3 linked regions of the Yarrowia lipolytica genome follow. The protein of the gene in region 1 purifies or fractionates together with the protein of each later gene. This does not show direct contact. Links are inferred from orthologs where the notes say so. Each region holds a gene or a part of one and is shown in the gene's direction. Other genes may lie near its edges. The genes, in order: YALI1_B29528g, YALI1_F27556g and YALI1_E35815g.

Region 1 (3,762 bases):
CACCTGCTCGTCGAACTCGTCGAGAAAGTCATCGAGGTCATCAAGATCTTCTTCGTGTGACATTGTTTTTGTGGGTGTGAACTGTGTGGGGGTGTGGTTAAGAAGCGAACACGATGGAAATCAAGGTGTTGGTCAACTTAGTTTCTTTCACAAGGTGGGGTGTGCAGGGGGAGTCTATGATCATCAGCCGTCTGAGTGGTTAGATTTGGACCAAGGAGGTGAGACAGGTGTAATTAATGAAGTAGTGGTAATTAATACCACGGAATATTCAATGGAAAATTCTTCCTCCACTTCCTCCTCTTCTGGCTTCTATTTTTTGGCACAAACGTGTGTGTGGGGTACGGGTTAGGGGCGTGGGGCAAGTGTCAGTCAAGCTGTCTCGCTGTAGAAAGAGGGCCCTTGAGTGTGCAAATTTGTGTCTTTGGAACAAGGGGGTCTCGGAATGCAAAGGATCATGAATGAAAAAGATGCTTCAAGAAGGTCTCTTAGTTAGGACAATTTTTTGTACTCGTACTTGTTCCACATCTTCATTAAATGAGCTCTGATAGGTGTAGATCCTTCTGGGAGAGGCTTGACGCTTAGTAATATTGAAAGTCAGTAATCCAGCCAAACCACCAACAAATATCTTGGGCGTAGGTTTTCCGTAGAATATACGCCAAATGAAGTAAATAATTCTATGATTGGACTCTCCCACGTGAATAATAAAAACACCTCACTTCCATACCCACATAGGACTCGAACCGAGTGCTGAAAGTTAGCTACGTTACTATGGAGATAGTCGGCCACAAACAAAACCTCTTTAGGAGACATCATCACATCGCATTCTCCACACACACCACACACAAGACACAACCAGCAAAAATGTCGGAAGACTCGTTGATGCAGAAGCGACTCATGGAAGAGCGGTGAGTTACAAAGACCAATCTTTATTCACCTAGACGCCCCGTTTTAACTAACTCAGGAAAACCTGGCGAAAGTCACATCCGTTTGGCTTCTTTGCTAAGCCCGCCAAGGACCAGAACGGAAACCTGGATCTCACTAACTGGAACGCCGGCATCCCCGGAAAGGAAGGAACCGCCTGGGCCGGTGCCACATACCCCATGCTCATCACCTTCCCCAAAGACTACCCGACCAAACCCCCACGATGCCGATTTGATGCTGGGTTCTATCACCCCAACGTCTACCCCTCGGGCACCGTCTGTCTGTCAATTCTGAACGAGGAGGAGGACTGGCGACCTTCCATCACGCTGTCTGAGATTGTCATGGGTATCCAGGAGCTCATGAACAACCCCAACCCCCACTCTCCCGCCCAGAACGATGCATTTGCCGCCTTCCAGAAGAACAAGGAGGAGTACGATAAGCGGGTGGCCGAGCAGGTCAAAAAGTACGCTGCTTAGAGTGATACTCGGCGTTCGTATTAATGCATTACGCGATGCTGGAGGACTTTAGAACTGGAGTCTTGAAGGAGGATCCAAGGGCCGAGATGAGCTGATCCACCCTCACGCGACTAAACATTAAATATAACATATGTATGCGTGACGCTTGTGGGTCAGCGGTTTTCGCATGTTTTAGTCAATAGATGTATTTTTTTTCTCCCTCCTGTCCAATGTTTGGTGGTTATGACAGCCCCAAAGTTAAGCCATTTTTCATTAGTCAGCTCCATGGGTTCATTTTCGTGGAGCTCTGTAAGCGTGACTCAGTTGACTCAACGTGTGGGCATGGAGGTTGGGTTTATCCGTTGCTTGTCATACAAATTTGAGGATATGGTTTGCTGTTAATGTCGGAAAAATGTGCAGGAACATATATCAAGTACACAGCTATAGCTACACGAGGGGATGTAACCAGGGGGATATGACGGCTTCACTTCATAGTGGACAGAAATACCGCTCAAAAACCCTTTTGCCCCGCCCAACAAGACCCCATGTACCCCCTAAGGCTTGCTAATATTGAGGGTTTCACCTCCGTCTTGGCCCATGCGGGGATTGTTTAACTTCGTTGGGACCTGTCCTAAACATCTATCCATACAATGGTGCCTCGACGAGGAGCCACAATTGGGGCGCCATTGCCCCGTATATTCTCGAGACACGTCAGCAACTACTTTCACTATCGCCAGGGCGACGTGGCGGGCCGCATAAACCTGCTTTCGCTTCCGGGCTTCATTGGACACTACACAAGCCGAGTCAACAGACCCTACAACGAAGACCGCTACAGCGCCTCCGTATTGAAACTACCTCGAGGCAGCACTTTTGCGCCTCGATCTCTGCGAAAGGGCATGTCTGCCGAGCGTCAGGTCTTCAACTTTGCCGTCTACGATGGCCACGGATCCGACGAGTGCTCCGAGTTTCTTAAGGACAAACTGGCCACCTATGTCGAGAAGGCTGACCTCAACGACGCCGACGACATTACCACCAAGTACAAGGAGCGGTTTGGAGGCTACTGGCGCCGATGGAAGCAGATGGACAAATACCGGGGTAGAATGAGCCCCTACGACGACTTCCAGTTACGACTACCGTTGGCGTTCCTGGAGGCCGACTACGATTTTGAAGGTAAAGGAGGAAGTACATGCACATCGGTGTTCTTGTATTGTCGCCATGTGGCCCATTCAGAGGCCGGTCCCCTACCGCCGGGGGCTGAGGATAACATGTTTGACCCAGAGAACGACCTCTCTCTAGTAGTGGCCCATGTCGGAGACACTCGATGCATCATCTGTGATGCCAAAGGAGAGGCCACACCTCTTACCATCGACCACCATCCCAGCGCTCCCACCGAGGCCGATCGTCTGCGTCGATTTGCATCTTCATTCTTCATGGACTCCTTCGGCGAGGAGCGGTTCGGTGTCTTTGCCAACACCCGAGCCTTTGGAGACACACTTATGAAGGCCAAGGGTGTGAGTGCCGAGCCCGACGTGCGAGAGGTTGCACTCCAGGACGAACAGTTCCTGGTGCTGGTTTCCGACGGAGTTTCTGGCGACGTGTCTGATCAAGAGATCGTGGACCTGGTAACCATTACCGCCAACAGTAGCGGTTCTGGACGAGGATCGCCACAGCAGGCTGCCCAGGAGGTGGTTGAGTACGCAGCGGCTTTGGGTGGCTCGGACAATGCCACTTGCATGGTTATCCGTCTAAGAGGATGGGGCAATGGCTCGCAGGTGGACCGAACCGGCGAGCTACGAGAATACCGACTCAAAAATGTCGACTCCCGTGGAAATCGAATGTAGGCATGTATATTTATAAACAGTAACTTTGGCAATGTGACTTGAAGAATGTAGCACGAGTATTCAGTGGATGTGTAGTGTACATACTACCCCCACCGATAAGTTCCACTAATGTTTTACGGTATCAACTAAAAATCTAACTAAAAGTTCAATTACTCTTAGAGCCAAGATGCGAGATTTATTATCCTGGCTCAAAATTCCCATCTTACGTATTGGGTGGAAAAAGTCGCTGTATCTATGGATAGATACAAAGACTTTAGCGTATCACCATGTGAATAGCTACTTGTAGGTGAAGTCAGGTGGCTCTTCAGGCACTGTAAAGCTACAGTACAGTATGTACAGCTTCTGAGGCATGAATCTTGGCTATATACAAATTAGTTCTTGGTCTGTCGGTATCGGAAGGGCTTTCGAGTGTAAGCGTACTCGCCAAGCTTGGTTCCGACCATATCCTGGGTGACGTTGACAGGAACGTACTCCTTACCGTTGTGGACGTGGAAGGTCACACCAACAAACTGGGGGATGATGGTTGCGGCTCGCTTATCGGTCTG
Region 2 (3,691 bases), on another chromosome or scaffold:
CCATGCCCCCGTCTGTACGATACTCTCAGCTATCGTCTCTACAGTATCGGAGCCCCACCACAACAAACACCATGCATCCGTACAGTTACGCGGGGTATTGGAAGTACCACAAGAAAGGATTGATCCCGTGCAATATGTTATAATCTTCTATCTTAGGTAGATGTCCATCCGTCTAGCCATTCTCTGTATAAAATGAATTCACATCTGACAACAATTCTCAGATGAGACTGATTTTCACAGCTCGTATCCCTGTAGATCCTGACACTTTAATATCCATCTGCTATCTTGGCTTGGGTGTAGAGTCAGGTGACCTTTTTTTGTGGTCGCGAATACTTTCCTCGCTAAAGGATCCCAGGGAGCTCTTGAAGTTTTTCCCAGGCTAAAGTTTTCTCTCTCTTCCTACCAGTACATTTCGGACATACCAATAGCGAGCTGTTGAATGCATTCTTTGAGCTACTGTAGCGAAAAATCTGACGTCGTCGGAGTTAGACAGGAGGGTTTAGAACTGGATGAAACCGTTTCCACCGGAGACTACTGGTACGAACATGGCGAATGGGGTAGAGACAGATGCTCTGATGGACAGACAACCAATATTATCCCAAAACAGTATCGATATACGAAAAGATTTTCCAGACTACTTGCCACAAATGCAGCGAGCTGCACATTGATGCGTTCATGCAAGCTACAAGTACGAGTAATTTGACGTATTGGGCACTTCAAGGCAGTCTTTCGAAATGGCCAATCTGGGAGCTCGCTCACCCTCCGAGATAACTGTTGGGCACACCAGCAGGTCTCAGCAACGGTTGAAAATGGGCTCTCAGTTCAACTAATGATCCAAGAAAATACAAGTACGATGTTGTGATTGGTCGGACTACTTGTAGACGACACTAGCCAAAGCGAAAAGGCACCCACCCTATCTGAATGCTGAGCTGTGTTCAGCCCCAACTCGGAATGCTGAACTGTTGTAAGTCGATAGCCGATAGATATATATCGTAGCAAACACAAGTTGTTGACTCAAACGCATTGACAAGGAAGTACAGATCCGAGAAATTGTGCCGTGTCAACTGCTCCCAGGCACGGTCTCAATTGGGGCTATATCTCTGTATAGAGTAAGCCAGGTTGGCCCCCCACCCACGAGAAATGCACCAACCAGTCGGCGAGCTCAACAGCCGTATGGGAGCCTCTCGTTTGATGTATGTGTGACAGGAGGTGTATATTGGGGCTACTGGGTGAAAATAAAAACGCGAGAGAGAATATAGGGGTTTCAGCGAAATCCCAGTGGAGAGACCGAATCATAGTATTATAACTATGACAGTATCGTGCGCTCTCCTCTTTCATCACTTCTCTCCAATATGCGTACCATCTATCACCACTCTCTTGCTTAGCCTCCCTCCCTCCCTCTCTCTCTGTTAGACCCCCACACGCTCAACAGTACTCAATATCCGCGCAGAAAAATAAGGTTGGTGGGACATTTCTCCGGTGTGAGCGATTAGTGGGTTGTGGTGGTGCCCATAGCAGACCTAAAATTGACTCTCCTCACTTGACAACACACAGATAGAACCTGCAACTTCATCCAAGTGGCGCTTTTCTCAATCCAGTCCGTGTGAAAACAAGACAATTGACCATGCTCACTGCCGCTCGACGATCTACACGGCTCACCAGCCGACTCGGCCACCAGGTCCGAGCATACTCCATCGCTGACGATGCCGACAAGGTGAGTATTTTTTTCGCCCATTGCGTTGGGGTGTCGTGGATTTGGGTTACAGGGAGTTTTTCCGAAACATACGCCTCACGAAACACGACGAAACGGACGACACAGACATGCCATCGACGCGGGACCCCTCGGAAATGATTCTACGGATGCCATTACCCCTGGCGGTGGCGTCTCGTTGACGCTGCTGAGATTGTTAATGAGAAACGGGCCTAGAGAAAATCGAACCTCTAGGAACGCATGCACCCGGAAAAATTATTCCTCACCCACCAGCAATCCATCACAAAACGTGGCAAAACAGCTTCAATCGACCGTATACTAACCCCAGAAATGCACAATCACGCTCAAGGAGGATTCTTACACCACCTACATGCTTGATTCTCCCCCTCCTCTCGAGTTCGAGATGACCAAGGGTGAGCTTCTGCAAATGTACAAGGACATGGTGACCGTCCGACGACTCGAGATGGCTGCTGATGCCCTCTACAAGGCCAAGAAGATCCGAGGTTTCTGCCATCTGTCTACTGGTCAGGAGGCTGTTGCCGTCGGTATCGAGAAGGCCATCGACCACGACGATTCTGTCATCACCGCCTACCGATGCCACGGTTTCGCCTACATGCGAGGTGCCTCTGTCCGAGCAATCATCGCCGAGCTGCTCGGAAAGCGAACCGGTGTCTCCTACGGTAAGGGTGGATCCATGCACATGTTCACCGAGGGTTTCTACGGAGGAAACGGTATTGTCGGAGCCCAGGTCCCCGTCGGAGCTGGTCTCGCCTTCGCCCACAAGTACCTCGAGCAGACCGGAAAGGCCACCTTTGCCCTGTACGGTGACGGTGCTTCCAACCAGGGTCAGATCTTCGAGGCCTACAACATGGCCAAGCTCTGGGACCTCCCCTGCATCTTTGCATGCGAGAACAACAAGTACGGAATGGGTACCGCTGCTGCTCGATCCTCTGCCCTGACGCAGTACTACAAGCGAGGTCAGTACATTCCCGGTCTCAAGGTTAACGGAATGGACATTCTGTCCGTCTACCAGGGAGCCAAGTTCGCCAAGGAGTGGACCACACACGGCAAGGGTCCCCTCGTCATGGAGTTCGAGACCTACCGATACGGTGGTCACTCCATGTCCGATCCCGGAACCACCTACCGAACCCGAGAGGAGATCCAGTACATGCGATCCCACAACGATCCTATTTCTGGTCTCAAGGCCCACATCCTGGAGCTTAACTTCGCCACTGAGGACGAGCTTAAGTCTGTGGACAAGGCTGCTCGAGCTATGGTTGACAAGGAGGTTGCCCTTGCTGAGTCCGACCCTGCTCCCGAGGCTACTGCCAAGGTTCTGTTTGAGGATATCTACGTTCCCGGCACCGAGCCTCCTGTGATCCGAGGCCGAATCCCTTCCGAGGACTACTACTTTAAGAACTAAGTAGAGTAGAATGTAATTACTAATGTACGAGCCGTCGTTTTCTGAGAATGAGTAGAAAGCAGGAGTACAGTACATAGATTGGGTGAGCTTGAAGTGATTGTGGAAAATGTTGCGAGAGAAACATGGTGAATAGTAAGTGAGAAAGAATTTATCCCATTTATTTTATCATTTTTTGCCCTTTTGAAGGCACGCACTCGGGCTAGTACAAGCATCTGTCGTAGAATCTGCAGTATATTCTACTTGTAAATTGACCCTGCTGCACTGTGGGCTCACCACCCAATTTTAACATCTTGTTATGCATATGGTTCAGAAAATAAGCACATCTACGCTGAAATAAATCCTTCACGCAACACCCACGACACCAAGCACATCATGTCGAACAACAATGACATGTCTCGTTACAAATAGTGAGTATTAGAGGGGATGGTGTGATATGACTCGGCTTTGTGTGACAAACGCCATTCTGGATCACTTACTAACTACAGCGAGGAGATGTCCTCTATTGTGGTGCAGGCCGATAGAAGGCACATCAACAGAGAGAGTGGCGAAGACAAGGC
Region 3 (3,573 bases), on another chromosome or scaffold:
GTCGAATTGCCACAAAGTAGAGCTGTCTGATGGAGGAAATTAAATGTAGACATATATAGACACACGAGGGAGACAAATAACTAGAGAACCTCACACACAATCATACACACCACACGCACTCCATACGCAGTACACCGCATTTCCAATGAACGACACAAGACTCTTGTGCACTGATGGTCACGTTCACACTTCGTCCAGAACTATCAACGAGAAATGGCAATGGGTCAGCTTCAGACTCCAGTCTACCTATGATGGTTTTTTTGCCCAAGTGGACTATCCAAAGATCTGGGTTCATGGGTTTTTGTCCTGGATCTACAGAAACACTGTTTCCGCTTACGATACTCTAGACGTGTATTCGGGCATGCTTATGATGGCTGCAGAATCTATGAAGCACGACCTCTTCACGTGTCTGGAGGATGTGTTGGTCGGGTGGGATATCAGAAGTGGCTCTGAAGCAATTCTCATCTGGGAGCGGGCTTCCATAGCGTCATCGGCTCGAGTTCAGAACTACATCGTTGAGTACGTCAAGGCAGACCCTCTTCTTGTGTTTGCAGATTCGGGCTTCTACAGCTTACCTTCCGAAATGAGAAGCCTGCTGTGCAAACGGGTCAGCGATAGTCGTAAGATCAAGACCCAGCGGTCCGTATATCTCAAAAGCGAGGATTCAGACGATGAAAGCACCGAGGCTCTCGAGGCTCTCACTCTCGACGGCCTCACAGCCACTCCATATGGGTCTCATCGTGGTGCTTCTACCATGTCTGTTGTCAGAATCCCCAAATCCAACTTAGCCGGAAACAAAACTTCGGGGACAGGCAACCCAGCGAAAGCCAGTCACAAGAAGAACATGTCGGTACCAACAAACCCTGCTCCGAGCTTGTGAACACGGGAAGTGTGGAATCTCCCGTTCACCTCCTACTATTTGTAGCAAACTGCAAAGTGGTGCCCGAGGAGAATGTGAGGAAGATTCGACAAGAGTTGAAGATTAGAGCGGAGATCGTGGAGGCAGCCGAGAAGGGAACGAGGGCATTAGAAGATGCAAAGGCTAGGGTAGAGGGCGAGCTTGAGCGGTTAAATGCTACAACATATTTATTCAGTAATAATACCTATTTCATAGCACAACTAACGCGTAGTATAGGTGACTGTAAGTGGCGGTGATAGAAGACGTAGACAACAAACTTCGAAGAAATTTAGCCTCCTGCTAAGCCGAGGTTGTTCCTGAACGACAGGACAGAACGGGAAATTCTGACAATATATCGTGTATGATAAGTTGCTAATCATTTACACAGACCATTATTTACTTCGGGTGTATCAAACAAACAGTCATTGACAGCTCCCATGCGATGGCCAACACTACAAGTATATCGCTCCACAATTTTCCCATCCCTCGTGTTGAACCTTGGACCCAGCAAAGTTGGGATGCCTCTAAGATGCTGCTACCAGAGGTTAACTGATTCCATGGCCGCACATGGTGACGTCATCAACGAGGAAAAGTCGATATTCTCGAATTGGAAAGTTGATAAGTCAACCAACCATACTATTAAATCATTTTAATCGTTCTCCAAAACCTCACATAAATGCCCCAAACGCCCCATGAAGCTCTCCAGCCCCCAACAACTCACCCTAACCCAAAGCATAATTGGTAGCAAGTGTGACCAATCTCTCCACATTATGGCCTATCTCAATCTTCACACATCACTATACATTTGTCACCACATATTGGGATCATACAAAAAAAATGGAAATCGCACAGAAAGCCCACCTCGCCGCCACGGTGCTGAAAACCGTGTCCAACGATGACCGAACTGCCACCCTCAAAATGGTCCACGATGCTCTTCGAGAGGCCAAGGACGAGGTCATTGCTGCCAATGTCAAGGATCTCGATGCTGCTAAATCCGCCAACCTGTCTCCTTCTCTCATCAAGCGACTCGATCTGTCCACCGGCGACAAGTACGACTCCATGCTGCAGGGTATTCTCGATGTCGCCTCTCTCGACGATCCCGTTGGAAAGGTGACTCTCGCCCGAAAGCTGGACGACAACCTTGAGCTGTACCGACTCACCTGTCCCGTTGGAGTCCTACTCGTCATCTTCGAGGCCCGACCTGAGGTCATTGCCAACATCACTGCTCTTGCTATTAAGTCTGGTAACGCTGCCATCCTCAAGGGAGGTAAGGAGTCTCTGCACTCTTTCACCGCCATTGCCAAGGCCGTCACCAAGGCACTGGAAAAGTCCAAGGTTCCCCCCGGAGCCATCCAGCTCATTGCCACCCGGGACGAGGTCTCCTCTCTCCTGTCCCAGGATCAGTACATTGACCTGGTCATCCCCCGAGGCTCCAACGAGCTCGTCAAACACATCAAGGACAACACCAAGATCCCCGTCATGGGCCACGCCGACGGTATCTGCGCCATTTACGTCGACCAGGACGCCAATGCCAAGATGGCTGCCGATATCGTTGTCGATGCCAAGACTAACTACCCCGCTGGATGCAATTCCGTCGAGACTCTGCTGATCAACGAGAAGGTCATCTCCGACAAGTGGCCCACCGTTGCCTCTGCTCTCGTGGACGCCAACGTCGAGATTCGAGCCACCCCCGAGCTCATTGAAGCTCTTCCCGCTGACCTCAAGTCCCACTGCAAGACTGCCACTGAGGAGGACTTCAAGACCGAATTCCTGGCCCACATCATCGCCGCCAAGTCCGTGCCCACCGTCGAGGACGCCATGGCCCACATCAACTCCCACGGCTCGTCACACACTGACTGTATTATTACCGACAACGAAACTACCGCAGGCAAGTTCCTCAAGGGTATCGACTCTGCTGGAGTCTACTGGAACGCCTCCACTCGATTCGCTGACGGTTTCCGATACGGATTCGGCACTGAGGTCGGTGTTTCTACCAACAAGATCCACGCCCGAGGCCCCGTTGGACTCGAAGGTCTGGTAAACTACCAGTACATTCTCAAGGGTAACGGCCAGATTGCCGCCTCCTACCTAGGAGCTGGTGGTGACAAGCCTTTCAAGCATGAGGACCTTCCTCTTGAGAACTAGACGGACAAGTCTTGGATCACATAGAAAATGACATGGAGTATGATGGGGTTTGATATTTGACTACAGTACATTCCATACATACCAGTACATACCGTACATTGTGAAGTACGTACCGGTGTACTTCTACTATTGTAGCCACTGTACGATTGTGTCAGTAGTGTCTGGCTTACTCAACTAATAGGTGTATAAACCAAAAAATACCAGCCTCAATTGAAAAAAAATTACAACACCCAGGATTCTCGTATGGTCTCCCACTATAATACTAACTAGGCTCTCTGGTGCTTGACTATGGCTGATCGGACGGGAAGCCGTATTTTCACCAAGATATGGTCGTAACCGAAACTCCGCAACGGAGAATTGAACTCCGGTCCCCCGCGTGCTGGTATATACCTGACAGGCGGAAATTCTAGCCACTAAACTATTGCGGATATGTCTGTGTAACGGATCGGTGATGGGTCAATCCTCAAGATATCCCTAGGTACGAGCAGGAACCGCTCGTCCTACTCTACAGAACAGTACACCAATAGTAC

Evidence for each region.
Region 2: the proteins of YALI1_B29528g (region 1) and YALI1_F27556g purify together in Saccharomyces cerevisiae (affinity purification with mass spectrometry; 3 studies listed by BioGRID, with this or other methods). This does not show direct contact. The link is inferred for Yarrowia lipolytica from reciprocal best matches to the Saccharomyces cerevisiae genes PTC6 and PDA1.
Region 3: the proteins of YALI1_B29528g (region 1) and YALI1_E35815g purify together in Saccharomyces cerevisiae (affinity purification with mass spectrometry; 6 studies listed by BioGRID). This does not show direct contact. The link is inferred for Yarrowia lipolytica from reciprocal best matches to the Saccharomyces cerevisiae genes PTC6 and PRO2.

Annotation. Positions count from the first base shown.
Region 1 is NC_090771.1:2,951,117-2,954,878, reverse strand, and holds YALI1_B29528g (uncharacterized protein), read left to right. Parts: upstream 1-2,026; coding exon 2,027-3,217; downstream 3,218-3,762. Other genes in the region: YALI1_B29548g (uncharacterized protein), read right to left, coding at 1-63; YALI1_B29539g (uncharacterized protein), read left to right, coding at 862-905, 962-1,397; YALI1_B29507g (mitochondrial 37S ribosomal protein uS19m), read right to left, coding at 3,589-3,762.
Region 2 is NC_090775.1:2,753,991-2,757,681, forward strand, and holds YALI1_F27556g (uncharacterized protein), read left to right. Parts: upstream 1-1,624; coding exon 1,625-1,714; intron 1,715-2,039; coding exon 2,040-3,134; downstream 3,135-3,691. Other genes in the region: YALI1_F27574g (uncharacterized protein), read left to right, coding at 3,507-3,541, 3,620-3,691. UniProt on the Saccharomyces cerevisiae protein: The pyruvate dehydrogenase complex catalyzes the overall conversion of pyruvate to acetyl-CoA and CO(2).
Region 3 is NC_090774.1:3,579,669-3,583,241, reverse strand, and holds YALI1_E35815g (uncharacterized protein), read left to right. Parts: upstream 1-1,735; coding exon 1,736-3,043; downstream 3,044-3,573. Other genes in the region: YALI1_E35831g (uncharacterized protein), read left to right, coding at 146-880. UniProt on the Saccharomyces cerevisiae protein: Catalyzes the NADPH dependent reduction of L-gamma-glutamyl 5-phosphate into L-glutamate 5-semialdehyde and phosphate. The product spontaneously undergoes cyclization to form 1-pyrroline-5-carboxylate.